Caenorhabditis elegans: one gene and its partner. The protein of the gene in region 1 purifies or fractionates together with the protein of each later gene. This does not show direct contact. Each region holds a gene or a part of one and is shown on either strand. Other genes may lie near its edges.

What was found. Proteins that work in one complex are often made in the same cells at the same time.
Region 2: the proteins of mrps-18C (region 1) and T06D8.2 fractionate together in Caenorhabditis elegans (co-fractionation; one large-scale study listed by BioGRID). This does not show direct contact.

What each region holds. Positions count from the first base shown.
Region 1 is NC_003281.10:4,932,050-4,939,327, reverse strand, and holds mrps-18C (Large ribosomal subunit protein uL3m), read right to left. Parts: upstream 3,751-7,278; coding exon 3,560-3,750; intron 3,514-3,559; coding exon 3,125-3,513; intron 3,048-3,124; coding exon 2,920-3,047; intron 2,807-2,919; coding exon 2,642-2,806; intron 2,597-2,641; coding exon 2,258-2,596; 3' UTR 2,107-2,257; downstream 1-2,106. Other genes in the region: fsn-1 (F-box/SPRY domain-containing protein 1), read right to left, coding at 190-375, 915-1,062, 1,115-1,478, 1,528-1,741, 1,881-1,967; eri-9 (Zc3h12a-like Ribonuclease NYN domain-containing protein), read right to left, coding at 4,410-4,619, 4,670-4,744, 4,786-5,190, 5,238-5,506, 5,558-5,952, 6,008-6,150, 6,203-6,391, 6,437-6,587 and 2 more; C26E6.12 (OBG-type G domain-containing protein), read left to right, coding at 7,169-7,278.
Region 2 is NC_003280.10:11,224,796-11,234,343, forward strand, and holds T06D8.2 (UVR domain-containing protein), read left to right. Parts: upstream 1-1,883; coding exon 1,884-1,972; intron 1,973-2,523; coding exon 2,524-2,664; intron 2,665-2,710; coding exon 2,711-2,849; intron 2,850-2,900; coding exon 2,901-3,080; intron 3,081-3,125; coding exon 3,126-3,267; intron 3,268-3,324; coding exon 3,325-3,392; intron 3,393-3,439; coding exon 3,440-3,527; intron 3,528-3,584; coding exon 3,585-3,857; intron 3,858-3,910; coding exon 3,911-4,137; intron 4,138-4,185; coding exon 4,186-4,473; intron 4,474-7,461; coding exon 7,462-7,634; intron 7,635-7,681; coding exon 7,682-7,802; intron 7,803-7,848; coding exon 7,849-7,989; 3' UTR 7,990-8,040; downstream 8,041-9,548. Other genes in the region: plpr-1 (Phosphatidic acid phosphatase type 2/haloperoxidase domain-containing protein), read left to right, coding at 1-22, 72-156, 367-543, 597-739, 1,277-1,448; cox-15 (EOG090X04TT), read right to left, coding at 8,113-8,220, 8,626-9,003, 9,056-9,416.

The sequences.
Region 1 (7,278 bases):
AAGATCTATTATGAGTGTTTTAATTACAGGTAAAGTTTAATATCAGAATTAAATAATTTTCATATTTTTCTGAAAATTATAATAACAGTAGAAATATGAGACAAGCGATGAAAACATGTGAATAATTACATTTTGAGTGGCGAATAAATACGCGCGCAGAAGTCAGAATATACGCTCTAGCGAACGTCTTCAACCCATTTGTGGACTTCCAACATACACCATTGTCACTTCTGTGTTGCCATAAACCGCACAGACAGCCGGATAGAGACGTAATGGGGGAATATGGTTGAATGCGATTCCGAGAAATTCCGAGTTTCGTTCAAAGTAAGCGACATGGGTGTCACAGTCGATTATTAGGCGGATTTTATCGCCGACCTGGAAAAAGGATTATTTCAGTTTTTAACTAATTAGTTTATTCGAAGATTTTAAACCATTATTTCAAAATATAATTTTTCAGGAAGTTAAATATTAAAAAAAAAAAACAACAAAAAAACTTGTTCTAAATTTTTAAAATTTCACTTTGTTAAAAAATATAATTTTTCTTTTCTGTACAGTTTTAGTGAATGGAAAATAATTGTTTCAATTTATCGAAGTTTGAATATTGTGAATTCTAGCCGAGGAAATAAAAAAAATGGTTTGAATTTCTAGCACTTTTCACAATGCAGATATACAGAAAAAGTTAATTATTGGAAATTTCTCGACAACTCAAAAAAAACTCGTCATGCGATTTTACCATGACGTTCATGTTTCTTAAATTGTTAGAGATGAAAAATTGAACTTTTTCACATATTAAACAACTTTATAAAACAAGAACGTCGTATTTTGTAAAATTGTGGCCCAATACCGTTGTTTCGTCCTAGAACGAAATATATTTGCTTGCATCGGCTTATAACTGAATTTTTTTAGTGAAATACCTCATATTTCGGAGGATTGTTCATTTTTGGATAAACACCAAGCTGTGCTCCATTGTGCATCAAAACATTATCTACAAGATTCCATCCCCATGATTGATCATCTGATCCGAGGAGAGCAACATAGCCAACACAGTGAAGAGCAGCATGTCTGAAAATGTTAAAGATATATCTTTAAATTTTCAAATAAATTAACTACTCACTTAGTAGCAATACCAACAACGGCTACAGTTCCCAACGGTCCATCCCAAGTTATATCAAATGCGTGTACTCCTTTTGAAATCCCTCGTTTTCCACGGACACCGTCTGTTGACTGAGCAACTGGCTGCCGGTGAACAGTGAAACCGTTGGTACGGATGTAGTTATTTCTTGAAATATCGCTCGTATTCCAGGCAAAATACCAGGCTCTCAGCTTCTTTTTTGCAGATCCCAGCTCGGCGAGCAGGAAGGGATCGGAAACTGCTGCTTCTGGAAGCTTCTTGCCAAGAAGGTACTGCCATATGTCACTGTCTTCCATTGAAAGAGCGTTATTCCAACTATGACAGGTTAGCATTGCAGATCGTAGGTCTGAAAACAGAGCCATGTAACTTCAAGGGGGAAAATGTTATATGTTTACCTTTCAATGGTAAATACTGAAAAATCTGATTCAGTACTTTCAGAGGAAGTCTAGAAGCTGACACTTCCGGGCGTCGTGGAGAACGTCGTCGTCTTGGGGGAATGCTATGCGGAGTCAATTGTTTTGGTGATTCATCTGGGGTTCCTGATGATGGATTCCCTTCGTCATCACATTCCACCATTGAAGTTTTTCGTTCTTTCGGGCTTTCCACTTGCTGAAAATTTAATATATTTCCCTTTTTTATTATTTTATAGCTTGTTTTCATAAACAATTTTTTAAAAATATTGTCTAGCTTTGAAGTTTGAAAAATTCAAGTTTCAAAAACAGTATTTTGAAAAAAGAAAGCAACTCACTTCCAACCCACTACTTTTCATAGGCGTTGAGGCCGTCAAATTGCACTGTTCGTCTGGAACAATCGTTTCCCCGTCGTTTTCAGCCATACTTCTCGATTAACCAGCTCACCACAGTCTTGTCATTCGCTTCAAATTGAGAATCCAAGTTTCAGAATGCATAATGTTAAGAAATAAAGTAAATCTCGGTAAACGACCGGTTTGGAAAAAAATCAACAAATAATTGAATATAAACTCTGCTTTTTGGTATTCAGAACAAACAAAAACAATGCAAAACAATGAAAAATCTATAAATCTACGGAACAAAAATTCTAATAAACCGAATTTCGACAAAAAACGATAAAGGAAAACCGTAATATATCATAAAATTAGATACACCATTACTTTTTAACTTTTGCAATCTTAGCTTTCGTTTTATCTCTTCCAGTGGCCTTCTTGGCGTCGGCATCAGTGAATAAAATGGATGGAGATGTGAAACGGAACAGTTTGGGCGAGAATTTTTCGTTGAAAAGAAGATTTTTGGGAATTGTGCCTTCTTCGGGTTCTGTCTCCGGTTCTTCTTCGATGGTTTCTAGTGATGGAGCCCATGTTGGCATTGGGCCGGATTTCAGACGTTTTTCTTCTTGTAAGCAATCTTTAAGTAGAATTGTTTCTCCAATATCACCAGGTACACTTCCTTTCACATAAATTACTTGTTTATCTACATTGATTCGAACAATCTTAAATAAATGAATTGAAAATTAAAATCGAGAGCAATTTCTTACTTCCAAACCAGAAACAGTCCTCCACTCATAACCCATATGTCCCGGCATACGTTTTCCTGGCCAAATTCGAGCATCGCCGACTGAACCAACGGAACCAATTCTACGATGTGATTTTGTGGTACGTCTTGTCGGTTGTCCACGCATTCCCCATCGATGCATTCCACCCTGAAAACGACTAGTTTCGAAAATATTTCGCAAGGGTTGAGAGATTATTTTGCTCCTTGGCTTGCAAGGGAAATTTTGGAAGTTTTAGACTATTGTAAATTGAAAAAAATTACCTGGAATCCCCAGTCAATAGTTTTTCCAGTAGCAGTTACATATTGACCAACTCCGAAGTGACGGGCATCAAGTGGCTGTCCAGCACTGGGGAGAGCGTCTTCTGTTACCAGGAAACATCCGAGTTTCTCTGAATTTATTTTTTTAACCATGAATTTACGGTGAAGGACTATCGAAAAGCGGAGCAAAACACAAAAAAAACCCAACCTTTCACTGGAATTCCTGCGCGAACAAATTGCCTACGGTACCCAAGCGTGTATTTTGTTGGATCATCATTTCCGGCACCCACTGTAACTCTCCACATAGGACCGTGACGATTGAAAGCCTTTCTTTTTCCGACGGCTGACGATTTATACCAAGCCTCTGGTGATGTAATACTGACAACATGATTTTCATCAACTTCAAGCACAGTGCACAGAATTCGGTTTCCTTCATTTGTCCATTGTGGGAGCATTCCGATTTTGCGGACAACCAGACCCACACGTCTTGATGAATCTGGAATGTCAACAACTGAGACATTGGTTTCTTGAGAATTTTGAAATGCAATGGTGGACGCCGCAAGAGTTTCTTTCTCAATTACGGTTTCAAGCAGATTTCTGAACAAAAACGTTTGCTAAACAGGTAAGAATTAATGCAACTTACTTTGTCCCCTGGCTAATACCCACACTGCTTTTCGGCACACTCTCTTTGACTGGCGGAAGCCATGGAGCTGGGGTCAATGTTCTTCTGCGACCTCTCTGCTGACTGATATGTCCACTGAAGGCCATTAGAATTCTCCCGGCCCATTCTGGAGTCGGACCCGTCGTCACACTGGATACCAGTGAACGGAGCATCTGTAATTAAGATTAAATATTAGTGAGATATAATTGATCATGAAATTCTAGAATAAAAATGAAGAAAATATCATCAGAAACTCCGCATGGAAATAAAAATGCGAGATACGAGAGCTGGACGAAATATAAAATGATGGCATAGCTAATTATAGCTTTATACCTTGAATGAATAACACTTCTGACAAGCATCAAAGAAACTTGTGTTAAAATAGTAGCTATTCAGCCAAATGAAGTGATTGATTCTGCTAAGTAATGAAAAATGGGAATAAAAAAGTCGGTAATGATAATCTGACGGGAAGATACTGAGAACAGAGGAACTAACGAATAAATCGAGAAGAACAAATAATTCGAAGGTTAGGCATATTACTTAAAATGAAATTATAACTAAAAGACGAACTTCAAATTCAAAAGAAGCTTGCTAACTTTACTTTAGCCCGACTTTAATCAATGCTCCTGAGAAACTGGGTGTTTCGTATGCGGCTAAACAACACGCGCATACGGAATTTCGGAGTGTTGTTGCCAGAAAATTCAAATAAAATTTTTCAAACAAAAAATGCAATTGTTTGTTTAAAATACAATTTTCAGGGTATATATTACCAAGAATTTTTAAAATAAAAGTTTAAAACCAAAGAAATGCGAAAATATTTTTATTGAACATATTAATTATCAATTTTTGAGAAAATAGGCCAATAAAGAAGGTCCTTCCCGTTCTGAATGTCTTGAATTGCCATAGCAACATCATCCATGCGAGTTTTTTGCATAAAACTAGGTAAAAGTTCTGGCACGTAACGTTTTATAATCATAAGGAATACTCTTATTTGGCGATAGCGTTGGAAATGGAAAATAGAGAGTTGCGCCATAGAGGAAATCTGAAATATTGATGATAAATCAATCTGAACGGAAAACTGGAAAAAATAACCAAATATGTTTGTTGCTCAAGAGTTAACTGATGCGGGGAATATTCAAATTCTTCGTTTTCAGATTTCTGATCACGCTGAAAAAATTTAGACTTTACAAAATTTAGATTGCACCTACGTTTTCGGATAAGTCGCCTGAGCTGGAAGCAACATCGACGATAGCTCCTTCTTCAGAATCTTCTGATATTTCAGAACATTCCTCTTTAATCAAATATTCTTGTTTCAACGTTTGTGGATCAGCAGGTTCATCCTCAGAGTCTTCCATAGCTCCACTGATTTTTTGATGTGATTCTTCTAGGACAGTTGTGCTTGATACGGCTGAAGAACTCCCTTCAGGTTTCAAAACTCTAGATTCTTCAACGAAATCTTGTGCGAGTATTTTTTTCGGAAGATTATTGACTAGGAATACTGTGCAAATTAGAAATTCATCAAGTCTTTTAGAATAACGATTAATCACTGGAAAGCATTGAATAGCGTTTCGGGTTAGAAACTCTTCCGCTGAGGAAACAAAGACTCCATGGACCTAAAATTTATTTTCAAATTAACGAATTTTGAAACTAAAAGAATAACCTTTTCAGCTTCAAGCAATACTTGTCGTTCCACAGCCCTCCGACTCCGCCCGTCAACAAACTGTATAAGTTTTGAATTGCACAAGAATTGAAAAATAGTCGAGTCATCGACTTTTTGGTTAGTTGTATCGTTATAATAATCTGGCAAGTATATTACAGTTTGGCACCCGTCTAGAATGAAATTTAAAAGTATTTCAAGTAGAGATCTCGTGGAAATTATTGGAAGCGACGATGAGATCGGAATTAGCATGTCCATGAATGATAAGCCATCTGAAACGAATTATTCAAAGTTAAAAACATCTAAATATGAAAGTAACCAACCTATAAATACGGGTCTAAGCATACAATCCGTGCTTCTTTGGTTAAAAATTGGAGTATTTTCTGATCCGATTTGATAATTACATATTAATGATAAATCGTTGTTACGCAGCAATTTAAGCCGCTGATGTTCATCAAAATGGCATGAAAAGTTCTTAATTGTGAGGCGACTCGTTGATTCCAAGAAATCATCATGTTTCTGGAAGTGTAGAAGCCACAATATTTCTTGAATACTTTTCAATATTTTTTTTCGTTTTTTGCGTTTTTTTTCTTGTAACGTGGTCCCTGTGTATGAATGGAGTTTAGTTTGTCGTTGTTTTTCTATTTGTTTGAACTGCAAATCTGGAGCCGAAAAGTGCCCATCAAGCCATGGGCGAAAATTTGGAGTATCTCTGAAACTTGTCAAAGGTATTTAATTAAAAAATATATTCACTCTATATTGAAAAGGCTTACTTTGCAGGGAAAAGCATGTCGAAAATCTCGCTCGCAGTTCCAGTTTCCTGAGGATTGAAATAATACATTTCTTCAAGAAATGGACGTTGAGGTGTCTCTCCACTCACAACTCCACAGGGTTTAGCCACGAACTTGCGGTTTATCTAAAACAAAATATATCTTCAATAAACTATTGAAAACCTAAAAACAGCTTACTCGTCCTTGTTTATTTTTTCGGCCAGCTCGAAGTTCCTGGAGTCTTGCTTCAAGTTGTAGAAGTTCTGGAGGATACTCGGGCTTCGTTTCAGATATTCTGAGTTTATTTGTTTTCAAGACTTCCTTCTTCACTACCGGCTCTTCCTTTCCACTATCTGATTCAGAAATACAAATTATTCGGCGGAAATTCTGAAATAGTAATACATTTTTCTAATTAACATGATACAAACAAACCGTCGCATTCCGAATTGATGGTCGAGCAGGCGGAAATTTCAAATTACTCGATTCTTCTGATTCTGTTTCTTTTTCAATTTTTCTTTGATCATTGTTCTTTTCAGAAAATGTGCAGTCTTCTACCTCGGGAGTCGGTGGTTTTGAAGCTGGCCTGCAATTTTGATCCAGATGAAGAATAGACTTATATTTATATGTACTTCTCTGATTTTCTCACAACCTGCTCGTCCTCTGAGGTGCTTGGTGTTAATGCCACACAGAATCGGTACATCTGAGAATTATATAGAAGAAAAGTTACTTGAGAGGCGGCACAAGGATACGCTGTAAAAATTAGAAACTGTTCAAACAAAAAATGTTTTTAAAACTTTCCTACGGTAATTCTGTTGGTCTCGCAACGAAAGCTGGACTCCAGACATGCGCCTTTAATTCTCACGATGATACGGCTTTAATCAATTTTTTTTATTATTTATTATTATTTATTTTCGGTATTACATAAACATATTGAACGGAATCAGCTAGAAAATCGTAATGAAACGAATTTATATAACCACCTGTTTTAAATTATACAAGTTTTCATCAACATTGAAAGAAAAAATAAAGTGCATCCTTTTTTAAATGAAAATCTTCAGCGCTCTTCAACAAAAATGTTTCAAATCATCTCCTATGACCTAAATTTGAGACGATCGTCGGCCACGGCCGTTCTCTAAAATAATTTAAATTCAGAATTCTCACGCGATGAGACTCACTCTTCTTCTTCGCGAAACCATTTCTCAAGTCCAGAAACTCATAAAAGACGATTTGAATGTTTTGAAAATCGATAAATACTTGGTGAACATAAAAGCAGG
Region 2 (9,548 bases), on another chromosome or scaffold:
CTCATTTGGCCTGCAATTACAGGTTTGTGATAAAGGAGAAGTTATGTCAAAATTATTTTTGTAATTTTCAGAGGAGCTGATGAGCTTCGTTACGCATGGCTCACGTTCCCATCCCTTCATGCCGTCGTCTCATCGTACGCCGCTTGCTTTGCATCTGTAACTTGCAAATTTTTAGTTTTCAAAATTTAAAATATATGGGAAAAGTTTGATCAAAATGCCATGCTCGGCGTTTTCATTTCTGCTTCAACACTAAACAAAAAAATATTTCAAATATGTTAAAGGTTGTCTAAATAGAGCCCGGGTACCCCCAAAGAATCAAAAATTCGATCATTGAAATTTAAATTTTCAAAATTTAATTCTCTCCAGCTCTACATCTACTACATGATTAACTTGCGTGGAGCCCCACTTCTCCGCCCACTCCTTATCTTCGGATTCATGGGACTCTGCATCGTCGACTCGTTCTCCCGTATCAACGGATACAAAAACCATTGGCGTGACATCTGGGTCGCATGGGTCATCGGAATCTTCATGGCTTGGTTCTTGGTGAGTACCTTTAGTAGGCTAGAAATGCAATATAATCTATGATCCTTGTTCAGTGCTACTGCGTCCTGTGCTTCCAAGAAGTCTACCATATGACTATCGAACGTACGCCGATTGTTCAAGAGGAGCGCGTCTCGCCGTTCTTCAGTTGGTTTAGACTTCCACGTGTTCAGGCTCCGTCGGTGAAGGAGGAATATGTGTAAGTTATCAGGTTTTTGTTAGAGTATCTAGGGTTTCAAATTATGGGCTCAAATAAGTTGTTGCTTAGCTTTTACTGCGGTTTTATTACCCATAAGATTTTTGGCTTTTGACATAAAAATACAGTATCGGGTCTCGAAACGATCAAGACCTCGCCGATACAGTATCTAGAAGGATTTCGAAATTTCTTTGAATTTTCTACAAAGTCATAGATTTTGCAATAAAAAAGGGAATCAGACAAAAAATGTTAATTGTATTTTTCTGTCCAAGGTCGCAATATTCCGCAACATGGTAATAAGTAGGCAGGTATAGTGCGCAGGCGCAACTTCAGAACCTGTCTGAACCCCGCCTGCCTATCACCTCTATTCTACGTTGTGGCGCGAATTTACGAGTTTCTAATATTCTTGTAGCTTTAAAATTTGAACTGCAGCGCCAATTTTTGGCGTTCTAGAATGGTCTAGTTCAAATACTTATACTTTTCCATATTTCCAAAAGTTAGGAAACATCCAATAAAATATGTCCAATCACCTAATTTTAGCGTCTACGAGGAAGACGTGGAGCGGCCGAACGGCACACTGCGAAACCGTCATAACCAAGGAAATCGTCAATACGAGGTGACGACAACAACGGAATCCTTCCATAGAACCATCAGTCCACAACAGCAGCAACAACAGCAGCAGGGACATCAAAATGATGGATATCGGTACTAGGTGCATACACTATCAAAATCTCATATCTCTAATTTTCTCCAATCCCAGAAACCCAGTTTTTTTCTTAATTCTGTTATGCTCATCAAAAAGAATTTCTCATCTCTTTCTCTCCCGCTCTCACTTAATTATTTTTTAAATTAATATTTAATCTAACTATGATATTTAAATAAATTTCTCTTGTATGTGTATATACCGTGCTCTTAGCGGAATGCGGCATTTTCTCTATGTCTCTGAATACCCGGCAGTCTTTCGCTTTTTTTGCTTTTACAATTTTTTCGTTTATTTCTTTTTTTTTGCTTTGTTTTGCACCACTCAAACCTTCAACAATAAATTATTCAAATTTCGTATGTTTTTGTGCCCGTCTTGACAACAGTCTCCATGGAGCTCGTCTGAAGATGGTCGAGATGTGTTTTCGTTATATTAGTCATAAGTCGTATGCAGCTGGAGTACGTTGTCTCGCATATTGGCGGAGTGCCAAATTCCGATAAACAGTATCTTTTGGAGAAACAGTGGGTTTCTGAAAAGTGAGTTTTGAAGAATTCCAGTAGAATTTTGAAAACTATCAACTGAGAACAGATAAGATTAGTTGCAGTTATCAACATTTTTTAAAGTATGTTAAAACTTTGCCGTCACTTTTATAAGTAAAATTTTGTCTGAAAATGTATGGAGGGTTATTTAGGATATCTTGGTCATGTTGGACTATCTGAAATTTGTGAATTCGTACAAGTTTTGGCAATAAGCAGGACTAGTAGTAGGCAGGCAAAATTAAAAAATATATCAAGTTTCATTCAAAAATTTGAATTTCCGCGTAAAGGCAACTTCTTATGAAATTTTAATTCAGCCACATTCATTCATTTTCGATCATTTTTGTGGCAAAAATCTAAGTGTTAGCGGATCTTTTTGATTTTTCTTGTATTACAGTTTCAAAACCGGAGCTACTTTTTTTTCAAGGTCCTATTTTTCCAACAAAAAAAATTTGCTCCCAAAAACAAAATTTCAAAACACTTCAGAGTTCAAGAATAACCAAACATCTCAACACAAAACATACTAGAATATTCATTTTTCTGATTTTCAGATCCCTTACCTTCCCAGTGGAAATTGAGCTTCATCTCCGTCAAAAGAGTGAAATTGAGAAGATAGAAATTGTTGCCCATAACAAGTTCATACCGAAAAAAATCTCGATATACTCTGGCCGAGACGAGGAAGGATATATTGGGTTTGTCAATTATTAAAGTTAGTAATCTTAGCTTCCACATTTCCAGGGATGTTCAGTTTAAGAGCAGGAAAAGTGACGATCAAAAGTATGAGCTGAAAAATGTGTTTCTTGATGAAATTTGCTCCATGTTGCTTTTAAGTGTATCAGAAGCCCATGCAGATGTTATCAATAATTTGGAATCTTTGGTTGAATCTTTGTAATTCAAAAGATCTAGTATAAAGTTCAAAAATGTTAAGGTTGGTCTAGTCGATGTCAAGCTTTTTGGTAAATATCTCCCATCTGACGAGCCCATTGAAGCAGATCCTCGAGATTTCAAACCGGGGATTCCGCAAAATGTGATTCCAGATCACAAATATTCAAAAGAACTTCAAGCAATGATTGGTGCAATAGAGAGGAATAAGCAGACGGCTGTTGCGGTAGGTAGGTTTTAAAAAAGTGGAGATCAAATTGATAACTTGTAGAATGAGGACTTCAAGCTAGCAAAATCAGCTCAACTAGCTGTTCGGGATTTGAAGAAATCTACAAAAGAAATGGAAGAACTGGAAAATGATAAAGGCGAGGCTGTAGCTGATGAGGATTTTCAAAGGGCGAATGATCTACAAGGTATGTCACTGCTGCATATCCAAACTTCTACTAATACCCCTACTCTTCAATTTTCAGATGAAATCACTGCGTTACGATCGAATATCCTTGCATCAGTTGATCCACGGTTGCTGGAGGATACCATGGTTCGTAATTCTATAAATATTATTTCACTAACGTTTAGAAGTTAAAGCCGAGAAATGAAGAGATACATCGGCCAAAAAATCTCTTCCCAGAGAACTCGGAGCTGCCTTCCAAACCGAAGCTTTATCAACCAGTTGGTGAGTTTTTTCAAAAAAAAAGTTTAACACTTAAAGTTAACTCCAACATTCTTTCAGACCTTTCCCCAACTGAAGTTCAAGCTGATCCATCTACTGCATTCCTTCTCCCACCTAGACCACCTTCTTCCAGTTCTTCCAGAAGAACTGTAACCCCGAAAAGACCCCAAACAAATGACTCCGTGTCAACTAGAAGAAGTAGTACAACTTGGGAAGTTCCGATTCGGCCGACTACTATGAACTCTCAAATTTCAAGAAAAAGGACTCCATCACCAGTTGTCAGAAAGGCTCCGAGTTCTTCATCATCGAATTCCACTTCTTCTTCTTCAAGACGTGAGCGACTTGAAAAATTAATTTCAGAATGTCAGACTGAATCCAATTTTCAGGAAGAAGCAATAGTATTGGAATGGGAACAAATAAGTTCCTTGAGAAAGAAAATATGATTGTTCCAGCCGCCTTGAACAGAAAACGATCGTCTTCTGTACATCTAGAATCTCAAGATTTTGTGGATAAATCCACGGATGATATAACTGAAGAGCAGGTTCTTTCGATGGTTCCTCCGGATCAGCGTGGAAATGTTAGATCAGCAATTTCACTTTTTGGATTGGAGCCTGTGAGTTGTTAACTTCTCTAATCACGTCACCTCAAATTCGATTTTTAGATCGCAAAAATCTACTCAAAACATTTTGAAAATCGAAAGGAAGGAATCGAGGAAATCCGTGAGAAAATCGATTCGTTGAGTGCGGAGAAAACTTCCAAATATTTCGAGAGCATTAGCTGTTTGTTGGCTCATTTGCTCAAAGAGCCACTATTCACAGTTTACAAAGATGTGCTTCTTCTCTGGCATCACTTTTGTACTTCGAGGCTTCCAAATATGAATCTTGAGAAGTATATTCAGAGAGTTGCATCCGAGACAAGTGAAATTCTAGCGACAAGAGTGTTGTCTAGTGTAAGTCTGGAATTTTTGAACATTGGGTTTGATGCATTGTTTTACGCGACAATTCAGTTATTATGGATTCTGAAATCGAGGTGCACTCTCTATGATAACTGGAAACGCACCGCCCCTGAGCCATGGGTCTCGTTAGGTTCCTTAAATGACTACTGTAGCGCTTGTGCTGATTTACGGGATCTCGATTATCGAAATGAGTTAAAATCATTTATTTGTCACTATAATATGGCCTTCATTCCGAGATGACAAACTTTTTGGTGGCAAAGGCTCTTTGGGGGCATAGTATCCAAGGAGACAAAGTATCCAGTAGACAAACTGGGGTGTATCTTGGGGGGCATATCTTTGGTGACAACCTTTTTTTCAACTAGATTTTTATATGTATTTTTCAACTAATTTTTGTTCACATTTTTCTGGAATAAGTTTTTTAATGCAATTTTCAATCGATTTTCGGTTATAATTCCCTCACAATTGAATGTATGAACGATGGTCTTTTGGGAAAAGGCTGTAAAACGTCCAACTAACTTGGAATATCGTCAGGCTCTTCCTGATGGTCTGATCCTTCAGCTCCGAAGGATCACATGGGTACCTTCTGATGTTCTGATCCTTCAGATAAGAAGGATCGTAAGGGAACCTCCTGATGGTCTGATCCTTTAGCTCCAAAGGATCACGAGGCTCTTCCTGATGTTCTGATCCTTCAGCTCCAAAAGAGCATTGAGCTCTGCCTGATGATCTGATCCTTCCGATGTCACCCAAAAGTTTGTCATCGCGGAGAATTTATCATTATTTGGTAGAAGCTGATTATTATGTATAGTTATACTGTTTCTTGAAAGTTTTCGGTCCTATCATGATAAATTTGAACTATTCTTTAAAGAATAAAGAATAACAAAAAAAATTTCGAGTTTTTTTTCAACATTTATTTTTTTCAAATTTTGTCAAAAATCCATATGAATCCATATGAGGTGGTACCCTTACGATCCTTCTTATCTGAAGGATCAGAACATCAGAAGGTACCCATGTGATCCTTCGGATCGGAAGGATCAGATCATCAGGCAGAGCCTCATGCTCTTTTGGAGCTGAAGGATCAGAACATCAGGAAGAGCCTCGTGATCCTTTGGAGCTAAAGGATCAGACCATCAGGAGGTTCCCTTACGATCCTTCTTATCTGAAAGATCAGAACATCAGAAGGTACCCATGTGATCCTTCGGAGCTGAAGGATCAGAACATCAGGAAGAGCCTCACGATATTCCAAGTTAGTTGGACGTTTTACAGCCTTTTCCCAAAAGACCATCGTTCATATCAGGTTGTCCCATAAGTTTTTGTACTTTTTTTCAAATATTTTTCCAAAACTTCTAGAAAGTTTTAAAATTTTTTCATCGTAGGTCGTGTCAAGGTCGGGTCGTCCCCTTTCAGAAAAGATTCATTTCATCCATTTCTACTTTGCCACGATGACAATCATCAAACTTGAACGTCGAGACGTTAGATTGCTTCTTCTTTATGAATTTCGTCTTGGTCATTCAGCAATGGAAGCGGAACGAAACATATGCGGTGCGATGGGTGAGGGAGCACTCTCTTATAATACAGCAAAGAGTTGGTTTCAAAAGTTCAAGAACGGCGACTTCAGTCTCGAAGAAATAGAACGTTCTGGGCGACCGGTAGAGTTAAATGAAGAAGACCTAGTGAAGCTGGTGGAGGAAGAGCCTCGTCTTAGTCTTCGTGAAATGGAAGAGAAGCTTGAGTGTTGTCATAGCACAATTGCACGTCACTTGGGTCGCCTTGGTTTTACTTCAAAACTTGGAACTTGGGTGCCTCATGAACTTTCGGCATCACAGAAGCTCACTCGGGTCAACGTTTGTACTCAACTTCTAACTTTTCGTCGAAAGTTCGATTGGCTGAACAATCTGGTTACTGGAGATGAGAAGTGGGTGCTCTATGTTAACCATTCCAGAAAACGTCAATGGCTTCCGATCGGTGAGAAAGGAATACCGACGCCAAAGCCTGATCTTCACCCAAAAAAGATTATGATCTGTGTCTGGTGGGGTGTTCAAGGACCCGTGCACTGGGAATTGTTGCCAACTAATAAAACTATCACTGCTGATTACTATTGTGCCCAATTGGACCGAGTTGCAGAAAAGACCAACGGAAAATATGAAAAACTATATTTTCTTCACGATAATGCTAGGCCTCATGTCGCCAAGAAGACTTTCCAAAAGCTGCAAGATCTTGGTTGGACTGTTTTACCGCATCCACCATATTCTCCAGATCTTGCACCAACCGACTACCATTTGTTCTTGTCTCTCAGTGACTACATGCGCGACAAGCAATTCGACGACGAAGAGCATCTCAAAACTGAACTCTCCACTTTCTTCTCATCGCGTTCGCCGGATTTCTTCTCCCGTGGCATCATGATGTTACCTAGTAAATGGCAACAAGTGGTGGACACTAATGGTGAATACTTGTGTGAATAGTACTACTTGTCGCTTGAGAGAAATAAATTTTTTTCAAAAAAAAATAGTACAAAAACTTATGGGACAACCTGATACATTCAATTGTGAGGGAATTATAACCGAAAATCGATTGAAAATTGCATTAAAAAACTTATTCCAGAAAAATGTGAACAAAAATTAGTTGAAAAATACATATAAAAATCTAGTTGAAAAAAAGGTTGTCACCAAAGATATGCCCCCCAAGATACACCCCAGTTTGTCTACTGGATACTTTGTCTCCTTGGATACTATGCCCCCAAAGAACCTTTGCCACCAAAAAGTTTGTCATCTCGGAATGAAGGCCCTATAATATTAATTGTTGATGATTCATGATTCATTTCGAAAAATCGAGCCCGTAAATCGACACACAAATACTACTGTAGTCATTAAAATAATTACTGTAGTTTTTGCTACGAGACATTTTGCGCGTCAAATATGTTGTGCAATACGCGTTCTTTGAACTCTATGTTCCCGTAATACTCTAATTCGAAAATTAAATTTCCAGGAAAAACGACTAGTTTCGGAAACTTTGACAGTTTTCCGAGATGGCTCGAAACTCCCTTCAATCGCCAAATCTTATGGAACCAAATTGCTCTCTTCAAACTCTAAAAATCTGAAAGGAAGAGCTATATTGATTGAGGTCATTGCAAAACTCTATGGTGTTCCGAATGAGCCAACGTGAGAATTAAAAAATCAAAAGATCGGGCGGGAATTCAAATTTTCAGAGGATTAAACGATAAAGTGGTCGCTGGATTTGCCACAAAGTGCATCAGAACTTCTGATCCACAAATCCGAACTATTGGAAAAGATCTAATGGTGAAGCTTTACAAGAATGGATCCATAAAGGTAACATCCCCCGATTCGTTCCTACAGTAACCCCTAAATCATTCAGGTCGTTCGTTCCGAACTGGAAAAGTTCGCCTCCTCTGATTCCAACAATCCCACTTACCAGAAGATTGTTCGCGAAATTTACAACTTTGACGGAAGCAGACCGAAGGCTGAAAAGAAGAAGAAAATCTCGTTTATGCTGTAACATTAACAACCAAATAATAACAAAGAAAAACTGGAAAGTGTCTCTATGTGAACTAAACTAACAATAATGACGAAATTAGAAGAATGATTCTATGTATATAAATTAAGAATAATTGTTTTGATATTATTTCGGAAGTCGGCGAAGTTCATGACTTAACCAAAGAACTGAGGAGAGAAGAGCCATTGAGCCGGATTGATGGCATGCTGCGAGCCAAACAGGGACGTAGTTGATCTGAAAACGAATATAGTTTTTTTTTTCGACGAACAGTATTATTGTTTGCGATTTTAGGGGCAAAATTGCGGTGCCTGGTCTCGACACGACAAATATTATTAAAACAGAAAGGGTGTGCGCCTTTAAAGAGCCTTTAAGACTGTAGTTTCCAAATCATGTTGCAGCTGAATTTTCATTGACTTTTCTTATTTTTTCTCAACTCGTAAATTTATTTAATAAGAAAGTAAATTTTTAAATAAGTATCGAAAAACTATGAAAAATCAGTGAAAATTCCGGAATAATGAATGCTTGATCCTACAGTACTCCTTAAAGGCGCACACCTCTTCGTATTTAATATAAATTTGTCGTGTCGGAGCCGGGTACTGCATTTTCGGCGCTAAAAATACAAAATTTGAAGATACATACAAGTGTGAAAACTCCAAGAGCCGCCTGTCCAAACACTGCTGCAACTGTCAGATTAAGTGCCATCCGTGTCCTCTTCGGAATCGGCGCCCGTCGACCAATCAAAAACGTTGAAAGTACACTAATCACGGTCAAATATGCCAAATTTCGGTGCACAAACTGCACGGTAACATCATTTTCGAAAAAGTTCTTCCATGTCGGTGAACGCGACAACATGTTCTCGGGAATCCAATTTTCGGCGAATTTAGGCCATGAATTATAGACAAGACCAGCGTCAAGTCCGGCGACGAAAGCACCCATAATTGCAGTAGAGAATACCATTAACTTGGATCCATGAGTCATTCCACGAAGGGCTCCGAGTTTAGAACGCACCTTTGAGAGCTGGAAAAAATAAAATAAGAAAATGGAATTTGAAATCATTTCAGAGTCTTACATCATGTGGCTTCACTAAATGAGAAAGTCCATTCCAGAAGAAAATCGAATAGAGCACAAAAGCCATCGTCAAATGGGTAGCCAGCCGATACTGTGATACTCTCGGAACATCCGATGAATTCTTCGATGGATCAAGCCCCGACTTGACCATCCACCATCCGATGCCTCCCTGAGCCAGCAAAAGTGTGGTGGCCAGTGCCATTCGTCGCTTCATATCCGGTGCGAATCGGCCACGAGCCCAGAAATAGGCGCACGGGATCAGGAAAACGATACCGATGGCGCGTCCCCACATTCGATGGCCATATTCCATTGACCAAATGAATTTGAACTCGTTTAGTGTCATCTCTTCGCTTGAGGATTTGCTGAAAATTAACGTTTTTATTTTCAATTTGAATTCCAGACGATTTTCTGCCACAAAATACGGTATCCGGTCTCGACACGACAATTTTTGTTTCATGAGAAAAGGTGTGCACCTTTAAAGAGAACTGTAATTT